2 linked regions of the Arabidopsis thaliana genome follow. The protein of the gene in region 1 interacts with the protein of each later gene in a pairwise test. Each region holds a gene or a part of one and is shown on either strand. Other genes may lie near its edges.

Region 1 (5,316 bases):
GGCCTAACCAGTAAGAGGATTGGCTTTACAGGTTTATGTGACAATGTACCTCAATGACTGCCAAAGAACTAATTTCTACGAGGGTATCGGGTTAAACACAAAGGAGTTCGATATGCATGTCATCATCGAGGTAAAGGAACTTGAAACAAGAAGATTAATATTAACCTGTGTTATGTTCCTTTTTCTGAAAATGTTGAGATTTGTTTCAGACAAACCGAACCACGGCAAGAATATTCCCTGCGGTGCTGGATGTTGAGAACCCTGAGTTCAAGAGGAAACTGGATAGAATGGTTGTGAGCTATGAGAAGCTGCTGGCTATAGGAGAAACAGATGATGCTTCCTTCATCAAGACCCTCAAGAGGATTCCTTTGGTTACTTCTTTAGCCTCTGAGATCTTGGCTGCTTATCTCATGCCTCCTGTTGAGTCTGGCTCTGTTGATTTCGCCGAGTTTGAGCCTAATCTTGTCTATTAGTAGCTGCAATGTCAAGTCTTGAGTTTACGGCTGGTTCTTGATTTCTTGTAATTGAATGATCGAAACTGAGAAACATCGTCTTTTTTTTTTTGCAATAAACTTTTACTGCATATATTTGATCATATTGCGCATTGGACTTACTTAAATTTCAGATTTTATTGAACTGGTTGATACAGTTGAGTTTGCAACATAAAAAAAAAACACATTACAAAATCTACGAAAATATCCCTGGAAACAATCCTACCCTCTGTGTCTTGTGTAAAGGAGATTTATCCAGAGAGGATTAAATATGAAAGCTGAGCTCATTCCTCATTCCTCACTCAGATTTGGCCTTAGGTTTCTCTTGTTCTTCGGTGAGAGGCTTAAACACAACTTTGAAGAACCAAACTGCAAGCAACGTAGCCTTCACAGGTCCAAGCCAATACACAAGTAAATGCTCTTTCGTTATATGTTCACCGCGTGCATAAGCCCATCCCATAACCTGCAAAGATTCACACAAAAGCAAACATTCAAAACAAAGATCGCTATTTGCTGAAATCACAATCACAAGACTTTTTTTTGGTACATACAGCTGCAGGGTTCATGCATCCACCGGTAAGATCAGAGCCAAGAATATGAAGAGTTAACTTAGCAAGACTACCGATCCAAGTCTTCATGAAGAAACTTCCCGGGATTTTTCTTGTTAGTCCCATTGAGAGCAGTACAATGAAGAATGTTAGTATCCCTTCTGTTAAAGCACCGTGGTGAATTGCTACATTTAGTTTAGGTCCTTTCCCAATCTCAGGGAATACGTGAATGATATGCTTAACCGCAAGAATTGATCCTATTACCTGAAATAACACAAAACCAGAGTTTCACAATAGTATCATCTTTGATTACACATTAGAGCAAAAGATCTTCAAGATGAAGTCTTTATAAAACAATAGAGCATATAACCAAAATGATCTGGTTTTCAAAGAAGAACCCATCAGCTAAATTCTCCTTTTTTTTCTCTAATTTGACATTTTACAACATTACACAAACCCTGAGACCTCTCTCTAACGAAGAGTCAATTTCAATTAAACCAAAAAAAGTCAACGAAACAAACCTCGACGGGGATTCGAACGAAGACGGAGAAGATGAAACTGCTGAAGCCACCGGAGACTCCAGCAGCCAAAGCGGTCAAAGGATTATAAAGCCCGCCTTTGGTGGCTTGTTGAAGGTAGGCGAAGATGAACATGGAGATGATAGAGAAGAGATAACGAACGATCTCACCGGAAGGATCGGTCCGGCTAAATCCAAGAACTCCATGGACTAAAATGTTGACCAGAACTCCTGCCCATATCCACATGAACGACAATACCAGATCAGTCACTACTAAACCGATTCGTCCCATTTTTCGATTCCAACGATGAGAACCAATTTCTCAGAAAGAAAGAAATTAAAAGTTAGCGTTTTTATGATCTGAATTTAGGATAATTGAGGACCGTTGAAGAGAATCGAGATTATATGATTGGCTCTAAGCGGCTGGTGAATTTAGCATATAATTGACGCTAGAGACATTGTTTGAGTCTGAGTCAGCTTCCGACAATAAAGGTTTTGGCTTTGGTGTGTCGTGATGAGATTATAGATTCTCTTCGATTTTGGAACGAGCTTCGGCTATTAACCAATAGACATCAACTAAAGTGATACGTTATTACTGGATAAAGTATTTACTTTACACAGTTAACTAATAATTACAAATAAATTACTACAATTAGCCTTCTTAAGAATTGTTTACAAAAAAGCCCTCCAATTTTAACCTGCGACGGAAGTTTCCCCTCAGGAAAAATATGACCTTTTGATCTTTACACGCTTGGCTTTGGGTTGTAACTTTTGTCTCTCTTCTATCGTTTATGGTGTTTGAAGCTTCAGCATTGGGAATGGATCTTTCCTTTTGAAAATAAGTTGTGAATATACGGAAAAATGTGACTTGTTAGTGGAGAAGCAATGCGTTTAAAGTGTTCGACAGAATGCCTCAGTGAGTTAGAGTTTCAGTTACCTCTGTTTTTGATTATAGCTCTTAGTGATCTCAGATTGGAGACGTTATCAGTCTTGGCTAAATTGATTAATTATTACTTTTTCCGATTTTTTTTGTTCTGAAGAAAATATGTTTGTTTATGAGAGGAAAGCTCGGAGATGCTAAGAATAGAGAAAAATGGGTCATGCTTGTTTCTCTAAATTTGAAGGCTTTCATTGGTTTGAGGAGATGAACGGTTTCTTCTTTGAACGACATAATTAGTTAAGATGAATTGACAAGAAAAGATGAAATGTCGGAGAGAATTTTTTTGATCCCTTAACTCTTTTGGCCATTGGTTTTTCTCTCTCTCTGATTCTTTGTTAGGTTTCCATGATTGTTCATATCAGCTTTCACTCCGAAAATGTTGCATTCTAAAAGACCAAAAAACATTCTTTTTTCTTGTGATTCAATGGCATAGAGACAGGAAGTCACAGAGTAAAGACCATTGCAGATTTCTTCATGCTGCGTTTGATTTAATGGTTTTAGGTTTACACTTTGTTTTTTCTTTTGCACAGAGTTCATGGTTTTCTCTTGTGTATGTGTACATTGATAGGATTGTTGTTTAGACAAGAACAAATATGTTTTCTGAGTTTATGTTCTAGGATATACATATAGGTATCTTAGAGAAAAGTTTTATTAGTTTAAGAAGATGAGCAAGGAACAAAGCTGTGTTCTAAAGGCTTGGGAGGTGACCGTAAGAAAGACCCAACAAGCGAAGAAGCGTGCAAACAGCATTTTTGGGACGGTATCTGTAGCTCCACAGACAGATGATGATGCTACTACTACGACTGAGGAGAATGATGATGAGACCAGCACTAACAGAAGCAGCATAGGGGAATTGTACCATGCAGAGAGAATACTTCCTAATGGAGACTATTATACAGGGCAATGGTATGATAGTTTTCCTCACGGGCATGGGAAGTATCTTTGGACAGATGGTTGCATGTACATTGGTGACTGGTACAACGGGAAGACTATGGGAAGAGGGAAGTTCGGGTGGCCTTCTGGTGCCACATATGAAGGCGAATTCAAAAGTGGATACATGGATGGTGTTGGCCTTTACACAGGTCCTAGTGGAGATACTTATAAAGGTCAGTGGGTGATGAACCTGAAACATGGACATGGAATCAAGCGTTTCGCGAATGGAGATGTGTATGATGGTGAATGGAGGAGGGGTTTGCAAGAAGCCCAAGGAAAGTATCAGTGGAGAGATGGGAGCTATTACATGGGGGAATGGAAGAACGCTACGATCTGTGGCAAAGGTACTTTTATTTGGACGGATGGGAATAGATACGACGGATTTTGGGATGACGGTTTTCCTAGAGGAAACGGTACTTTCAAATGGGCTGATGGGAGTTTCTACGTTGGTCATTGGTCTAATGATCCGGAAGAGATGAACGGTACTTATTATCCATCAGGAGACGACGGGAGTCCTGAATGGGATCCTAAAGACGTGTTTACTAATCTGAGTGAGTACAAGATCTGCAGCGGAGAGAGAGTTCCTGTGTTGCCTTCACAGAAAAAGCTATCTGTTTGGAACTCTTCCAAACGTGTCGAGAAACCGAGGAGGATGTCTGTTGACGGGAGGGTAAGTGTGGGTGTAGATAGAGCGTTTGAGAAGATGAATATGTGGGGAACCGAAAGCGGAGAAGGTGCTGCTGATATTGATTCCACCACGAGGAGGGACTTGGATGCTGAAATGATGAGACTAGAGGCTGAAGGGTTCATTCAGAGCCTGAGACCGAGCCCTGCACCTATGAGATTGCCAAGGGCAGGGAGGAAGCAAGGCGAGACGATATCTAAAGGCCACCGGAATTACGAGCTTATGCTTAATCTACAGCTTGGAATCAGGTAAATATCCCAGTTTGCTGCCTCATTTATACAATTTGAAGTTTTGTTGATGTATAAGCGCTCATGTGAAATGTATTTGCTTACGCAGACATGCTGTTGGAAAACAAGCTCCGGTTGTGTCTCTTGATCTTAAGCATTCGGCTTTTGATCCAAAGGAGAAGGTATGGACAAGATTTCCACCAGAAGGAACCAAATACACACCTCCTCATCAATCTAGTGAATTCAAATGGAAAGACTATTGCCCATTAGTTTTTAGGTGAGATCAAATAACATTAGGCTTTACTTATTTCCCATCTGTACGTATTCTCACACACTGTTATGCTAATTTTATCTATCTTTAGGAGCTTGAGGAAGCTATTCAAGGTAGACCCAGCTGATTACATGTTATCGATCTGCGGGAATGATGCCCTTCGGGAGCTATCATCCCCTGGTAAGAGTGGAAGCTTTTTCTACTTGACAAATGATGATCGTTACATGATAAAGACAATGAAGAAGTCTGAAACTAAAGTGAGTTTGTTTTATTTTAAAATGACAAGATGAAAAATATGTAGCTGCTATTAACTTTATTCTGGAATTATATAATGCAGGTGCTTCTGAGGATGCTTGCAGCATATTACAACCATGTTCGAGCATTTGAGAACACTTTGGTCATTAGATTCTACGGTCTCCACTGTGTGAAGTTAACTGGACCAATCCAAAAGAAGGTAAGAATTAAGAACAATGCTAAACAGACAAAAAAACTGAGACTTGGATTTTGATTGAATATATCATCTCCTTTATTGCAAATTGCAGGTGCGGTTTGTCATTATGGGAAACCTATTTTGTTCTGAGTACTCCATCCACAGACGCTTTGATTTGAAAGGATCTTCTCTTGGCCGTACAACCGATAAACCTGAATCGGAAATCAATTCAAATACAATTTTGAAAGATCTTGATCTGAATTTCATTTTTAGA
Region 2 (6,728 bases), on another chromosome or scaffold:
TACATAGCTTAAACGTGTTCTGTTCCAAGAGGTAACAAAAATGATACTCTGTTTTTACCGTCCATGATAATGCTTCTTCGAGAAGGAACGTCCATAAAATATGATGATTTGATTGGTAGTCATGCAACTTCTTCATTTTTTAAATTCTTGTGTACGTAAAAGAGAGAGAGAGGGGAAGGACAAGAAAGCAGGAGGACCAACCAAAAATGGGATATTCCATTCCAGAGAGAGCCAAAAATAGTTTGGGACAGAATTTGAAAGAACACAAAACCCAAAAACTTCAACCAGAGAGCGAGATTTAGAAAGATGATCACCGGGCTTGCTTTGTCACGTGTTGCTTTCGGTTTAACCGCCTTCCTCCTCCTCGCCGTCGTTAGCAGCCAGGAGAAGTGCAGCAACACCTGCATTGCACAGAACTGCAACAGTAAGATTGTTTTTTTCTTATCATCTTAGTTCTTATGCCTTCCTTTGATTTTGGAGAAAAAAACTTGTGCATGCATTATATGTTTTGATCCAATCTTTGTTTTCAGGTCTTGGTATTCGCTATGGGAAGTATTGTGGGATAGGTTACTTTGGATGTCCTGGAGAGCCACCTTGTGATGATCTTGATGCTTGTTGTATGACTCATGACAATTGTGTTGATTTAAAAGGTAAACCAATCAACAACATAATCTATGCATGAAAACCATTCTTGAGTTAATATTTGGTTTTTATTAGGTATGACTTACGTTAACTGCCACAAGCAGTTCAAACGTTGCGTAAACAAGCTAAGCAAATCTATTAAACACTCTAACGGAGAAAAGATTGGATTCTCCACACAATGCCCTTATTCGATAGTGATACCAACCGTGTTCAATGGAATGGATTACGGCATTTTCTTCAGTGGGATAGGTAATTATTGAGCTCTGATTTTGTGACATTCAATATAAGCTAGTACTAGTGATGAAACCACATGACTCTTTTTCTGTTACATTGTGACATTTCTTATGATAAGATATATGTGAATAATCTCTGCGCAGGTAATATATTTAATCCCCCGGTGCTGGGAAGCGTGCCCGTCGTGGAGGTGGATCTCGCTCGGAGTAAAGTGGACACAAAGGATGGCCTTGGAACAAAACTAGGCCTTCAAACAAAAGAAGGCTCCAAAGTCTCTGCTTCTTTAAATATATGAGCCCTTCTAGTACTATTTCTTGATCATCTTCTAAAGTGACTACTCTCTGTAACTTCGTTGTTATAGAAAATTCATAAAACAAAAAAAGACTTTGAATTCTGTCCCAGATCAAAATCAACTGGCAATCAATGACTCAGTCTATGTATTTTATCTATTATTTTGGATGTTAATCACATCTTTAATAACTTCACTAAAGTCAAAACGTGACATTGTCACTAATTCCATCTTATAAAATCCAGGTTGTCTTCCTGTCCTTAGTGGGAAATATATATAGTTACTGAGCCAATGATGAAAGAAAAGTCTACAAACACCTGGCTAATACCATAAAGAGTAGACTTTGCACTTTTTGGCTTTTAATTAAGCTTATCTTACTCGCACGTAGTCTGTTTTTTTCCTGAAGATGGTAAGCTGAAGAACTTCTGAAAAAAGAGAGAAGAAAATGAGGGCTAATCTCGTTTTCGGCATATTTTGTGCCCTTGTTACCACCATTTTAGTTCACGGCCAAGACCAATCAGGTTCCCTCTTCTCCTCTCTGTTTTGATTTGAAATTGAGGCGAGGTTCAGACTGAAGAAAGCTTGAGTTTTATTATGAAAAGTTTTTGTCTTTTAAACATGTCTTGGATTTTTAGTCAAACCCTTATACAATGTCTTGTGTTACAAGTAATCATACAATTCTCTCTTTTCTCTGTTTTCTAATTTGAAATTGACCGATGTTCTTGAAGGTTCTTGAAAGTTGTGATCTACGTTTTTGTCAATATAGAGAAACGAAGTTAGGCAGATTTTTAAACCTATCCATGAACGTTCTCAGACGTCATAAACAATTTTACTTGTGTTGGAAGTAACTCCCCTTTCTTCTCCTCTGATCCAGGTTACATCAGCATCGATTGTGGCATACCTCCTTACGATACCCCTGAAGACACTATGACTAACATTAATTACGTCTCCGATGAAGCTTTCATAACCACCGGCGTAAACTTCAAGGTCTCTGAAGAATACGGCTATCCAAAAAACCCGGTATTGCTGTCAACTCTTGCTGAAGTAAGAGCTTTCCCTCAAGGAAACAGAAACTGTTACACCTTAAAACTTTCACAAGGAAAAGATCATCTTTATCTCATTAGAGCTTCCTTTATGTATGGAAACTACGATGGTAAAAAAGCTTTGCCTGAGTTTGATCTCTATGTAAACGTGAACTTCTGGTCGACAGTGAAATTCAAAAATGCTTCTGATCAAGTCACCAAAGAGATTTTAAGCTTTGCAGAGTCGGATACAATATATGTTTGCCTTGTGAATAAAGGCAAAGGAACTCCTTTTATTTCAGGGTTAGAGCTCCGACCAGTGAACAGCTCAATCTACGGTACTGAATTTGGAAGAAATGTCTCTTTGGTTCTCTATCGAAGATGGGACATTGGATATTTAAACGGAACAGGACGGTACCAAGACGATAGATTCGATCGTATTTGGTCTCCATACTCCTCAAATATCTCCTGGAACTCGATTATAACATCGGGCTATATCGATGTTTTTCAGAACGGTTATTGTCCACCTGATGAAGTTATTAAGACAGCTGCTGCTCCTGAAAACGTTGATGATCCGTTGGAATTGTTCTGGACATCAGACGATCCAAATGTTCGGTTCTACGCATATCTTTACTTCGCGGAACTCGAAACACTAGAGAAGAATGAGACTAGAAAGATCAAGATTTTGTGGAATGGTTCCCCTGTTTCTGAAACTTCTTTCGAACCTTCTTCAAAATATTCAACGACGTTTTCTAATCCAAGAGCTTTCACTGGTAAAGATCACTGGATTTCTATTCAGAAGACTGTAGATTCAACGCTTCCACCGATTCTCAATGCTATAGAGATTTTTACCGCACAATCTCTAGATGAATTTTCCACCACAATTGAAGACAGTGAGTTTCCACTTTCAATCTCTATTTAGATAGAATTAGATTTCTACTGAAACTCACATAGTCACATTTTCTCTTGGTAATGCAGTTCATGCTATAGAAAGCATAAAAGCAACTTATAAAGTGAACAAGGTTTGGAGTGGTGATCCTTGCTCCCCAAGATTATTCCCTTGGGAAGGTGTTGGATGCAGCGACAACAATAATAATCATCAAATCAAGTCCCTGAATCTTAGCTCAAGCGGATTACTAGGACCAATAGTCTTGGCATTTAGAAATCTCTCTCTTCTTGAGTCATTGTAAGTATACGTATACAATTGACATTTTTCACCACTTTTTATGCACATGAACTATCAGAGAGTTATGCATTGTTTTTCTCAGGGATTTATCCAACAATGACCTGCAACAAAATGTGCCTGAGTTTTTGGCTGATCTAAAACATTTGAAAGTCCTGTAAGTAAGCACAAATATACACAGTGTTGGTCTATTTAAATAATGAATTTGCCTCTTGACACATTTACTTGTGTTGTAAGGAATTTGAAAGGAAACAATTTTACTGGGTTTATCCCAAAATCCCTTATGAAAAAGTTAAAGGCCGGTTTACTTACGCTCAGGTAACAGTTTCTAGCATTATTCAGAAAGTTATTCAACACAAGCACTCTCTCTGAATCTTGTGATTTCCTCTGTTTTGCAGTGCGGATGAGCAAAACCTTTGTAACTCATGTCAAGAAAAGAAGAAGAAGAAGAGCATGGTCGTGCCAATAGCTGTAGCAGCATCAGTGATCGTTCTCGTTGTCGTCTTGGTTATCATATGGATCATACTAAGGCAAAGAAAAAAAGGTTAGATGGCTGGAATATTTACTTCAGGATTAATGAATTGAAGTTGTTTTATGCTGAGAAAAACGAGTGTTTTGATTTCAGGAGCCTATTCAGGACCACTCCTGCCTTCAGGGAAGAGAAGGTTCACATATAATGAGGTCTCTAGCATAACAAACAACTTCAATAAAGTGATTGGTAAAGGAGGGTTTGGTATTGTGTACCTTGGTTCCCTTGAAGATGGGACTAAAATTGCTGTAAAGATGATAAACGATTCTTCATTGGCAAAACCTAAAGGAACTTCATCATCATCATTATCCCGGGCTTCTAACCAATTCCAAGTCGAGGTGATCTAAAGAACACCAAAAACATGATCAAATATTTTAGAAATTAAAATGCTTAAGTACTGTAAAATGTTTGCAGGCAGAGCTTCTTTTGACAGTGCATCACCGTAACTTAGCTTCATTTGTTGGATACTGCGATGATGATCGTAGCATGGCTCTCATCTACGAGTACATGGCCAACGGCAACTTGCAGGCTTATCTTTCAAGTCATCTTATTATCTCTCTATATATCTCTGTTACCAATTGTTGCTTTGCTTCCTATGAGCTCACGGGTGTTATGTTTATGGACATGCAGGTGAGAATGCAGAGGATCTTAGTTGGGAAAAGAGACTCCATATAGCCATAGATTCTGCACAAGGTTGGTCCCGGTTTTGGCAACCTTGATTCCTCAGGGCTTAACCAAGAAACCAAACCTGGTTTAGCCTAGTTCTGTATTGTGAAACCTGGTTTTATTTCCCCCTTGGCAGGTTTGGAGTATTTGCACGATGGATGCAGACCAGCAATAGTACATAGAGACGTTAAAACAGCAAACATTCTAATAAACGATAACTTGGAAGCCAAGATTGCTGATTTCGGCCTTTCTAAGGTCTTCCCTGAAGACGATCTCAGCCACGTCGTGACTACCGTCATGGGCACTCCCGGCTACGTTGATCCTGAGTAAGTTCCTTTTCACAATCAATACAGATCACATGTTCTGGCTGGTAGCTTCACAAACCAGAGCGGTTTAGTGAGACTAGGGTTAGGGTTGGCCAATTCAGTTCGGACCCTTTTTAAGTTTATCAGGAATACATGGTAACCAATTTGCGACGTGTGGTGACAGATACTACAGAACATTTGTGCTGAACGAGAAGAGCGACGTGTACAGTTTTGGGGTCGTTCTTCTTGAACTCATCACTGGCCAGCGAGCCATCATCAAAACAGAAGAAGGAGACAATATCAGCGTTATTCACTACGTTTGGCCGTTCTTTGAGGCTAGAGAACTAGACGGCGTCGTGGACCCGCTGCTTCGGGGAGACTTCTCGCAGGACTCAGCTTGGAAGTTTGTGGATGTGGCAATGTCTTGCGTCAGAGATAAAGGATCGAATAGACCAACGATGAACCAGATCGTAGCGGAGCTGAAACAGTGCCTAGCTGCTGAGCTGGACCGTGAGCCACAGAGCCAGTGAAAGTCAAAGAGATTACGGAGAAGTAGGACGAAGCCAAATGGATTAAAAGAGGTTTGGATAATTTCTATATAGGTTATTTGTGTTGTATGGTCAGATTCATATTATGATTGACTACAATTTCTAAAAGGTTTCTACTCAAATTCTTTTGTATAAAATTCGATCGTTGTCGATTCCGTTAAAATCCTACTTGTAATAGTTTTGTGATGAAATGAATGATTCATATTTCTCATAATTGCTGATCTAGGAAATTAACGTACTATAGATCAAATTGATAAGCTTTGAATTGAGTGATGAATCATATATTTCTATTAAATTGTATAGAGTTTTATCATGTTATTTTTGTTGAAAATAAATCAATTAATTTCTTCTTAAACAATTGTTTTTTTTGTCTAATACAAAAAATGCTAATTTTGAAATTTAGTTTTATGGTATTTCAGTTATCTGTTGTCGGTGTCTCTACATTTAAAGACATTTCAAAACATGTGACCCACTAACTCTAGACATATACAAAAAATCGGTTATAATTATTTAATACATATCTAGTTATTTTGTAACGCTTTAAATTTTATTAGCTTAATTATTATTTTTTCAAGATTGTTTTGATATTAATGAAGATCTGATAAAAATCATTGTTTATATATTAAATGATTCGGGGATTAATTGGAGTAACGAAAGATATTCAAAGTTGGAAAATCTAATATTTGAATAACCTTACAAAATCAATAATGTTAATATACAAGATTTTTGTTTAAATTACTGTCGACATGACACATGTCTTTTTCATTAACTCGTTTTTCTGAGTTTTTGTTTTCTTACATGATTGTCATTTTGACGCGTTAATCAAAATCTTCTAACACTATTTAACCCGTTTTTGCCAAAAGTCAATTTTTCTTTTTTATCGTCTCTATTTCACCTCTTCTTCTGCGTCTTCTCCAAAATTGATACTTTTCTTCGTGTCACGTGAAGGTCCATTTCCTCAGATCACAAAATTTCCATCTGATTTCCTCAACAAAAACCCTTAAAGCCCAGATTTTTCGTTTCAATTGTGTGTACTCGGAGACTCCACAAGACCTCAAAAGGCTTGACCTTTCGTTTCTCTAATCAAGTTTCGCTCAATGAAGAAGGTGCTTCATCGAAGTTTCAAGCCTGCCAAATGGTATATTCACTTTCTCATTTTCCTCTTGCGAGTTTCTTCACATTACCGGAATATTGATACATTTGGGTGATTGTTATTTTCAATAATGAAGCAAAATTGCTTTACAAATGGCGGCTTCACGCCTGAAAATCCTGAAGAACAAAAAGGATACACAGATTAAGCAACTGAGGAG

The links. The genes of interacting proteins can lie anywhere in the genome.
Region 2: the proteins of SIP2;1 (region 1) and AT4G29450 interact in a protein complementation assay, tested with the Arabidopsis thaliana proteins (one large-scale study listed by BioGRID).

What each region holds. Positions count from the first base shown.
Region 1 is NC_003074.8:21,077,797-21,083,112, forward strand, and holds SIP2;1 (small and basic intrinsic protein 2;1), read right to left. Parts: upstream 2,061-5,316; 5' UTR 1,849-2,060; coding exon 1,561-1,848; exon of another isoform or gene 1,379-1,560; intron 1,304-1,378; coding exon 1,043-1,303; intron 955-1,042; coding exon 794-954; coding exon of another isoform or gene 790-793; exon of another isoform or gene 688-789; coding exon 615-687; 3' UTR 501-614; downstream 1-500. Other genes in the region: CRD1 (dicarboxylate diiron protein, putative (Crd1)), read left to right, coding at 32-130, 210-473; PIP5K4 (phosphatidyl inositol monophosphate 5 kinase 4), read left to right, coding at 3,161-4,362, 4,451-4,618, 4,704-4,869, 4,950-5,066, 5,155-5,316. UniProt on the Arabidopsis thaliana protein: Water channel required to facilitate the transport of water across cell membrane. Inactive in yeast cells.
Region 2 is NC_003075.7:14,477,509-14,484,236, reverse strand, and holds AT4G29450 (Leucine-rich repeat protein kinase family protein), read left to right. Parts: upstream 1-1,610; coding exon 1,611-1,686; intron 1,687-2,039; coding exon 2,040-3,080; intron 3,081-3,165; coding exon 3,166-3,373; intron 3,374-3,455; coding exon 3,456-3,527; intron 3,528-3,607; coding exon 3,608-3,688; intron 3,689-3,768; coding exon 3,769-3,914; intron 3,915-3,995; coding exon 3,996-4,237; intron 4,238-4,313; coding exon 4,314-4,440; intron 4,441-4,529; coding exon 4,530-4,592; intron 4,593-4,701; coding exon 4,702-4,891; intron 4,892-5,054; coding exon 5,055-5,400; 3' UTR 5,401-5,488; downstream 5,489-6,728. Other genes in the region: PLA2-GAMMA (Phospholipase A2 family protein), read left to right, coding at 307-424, 531-650, 718-891, 1,020-1,171; AT4G29440 (Regulator of Vps4 activity in the MVB pathway protein), read left to right, coding at 6,516-6,556, 6,648-6,728.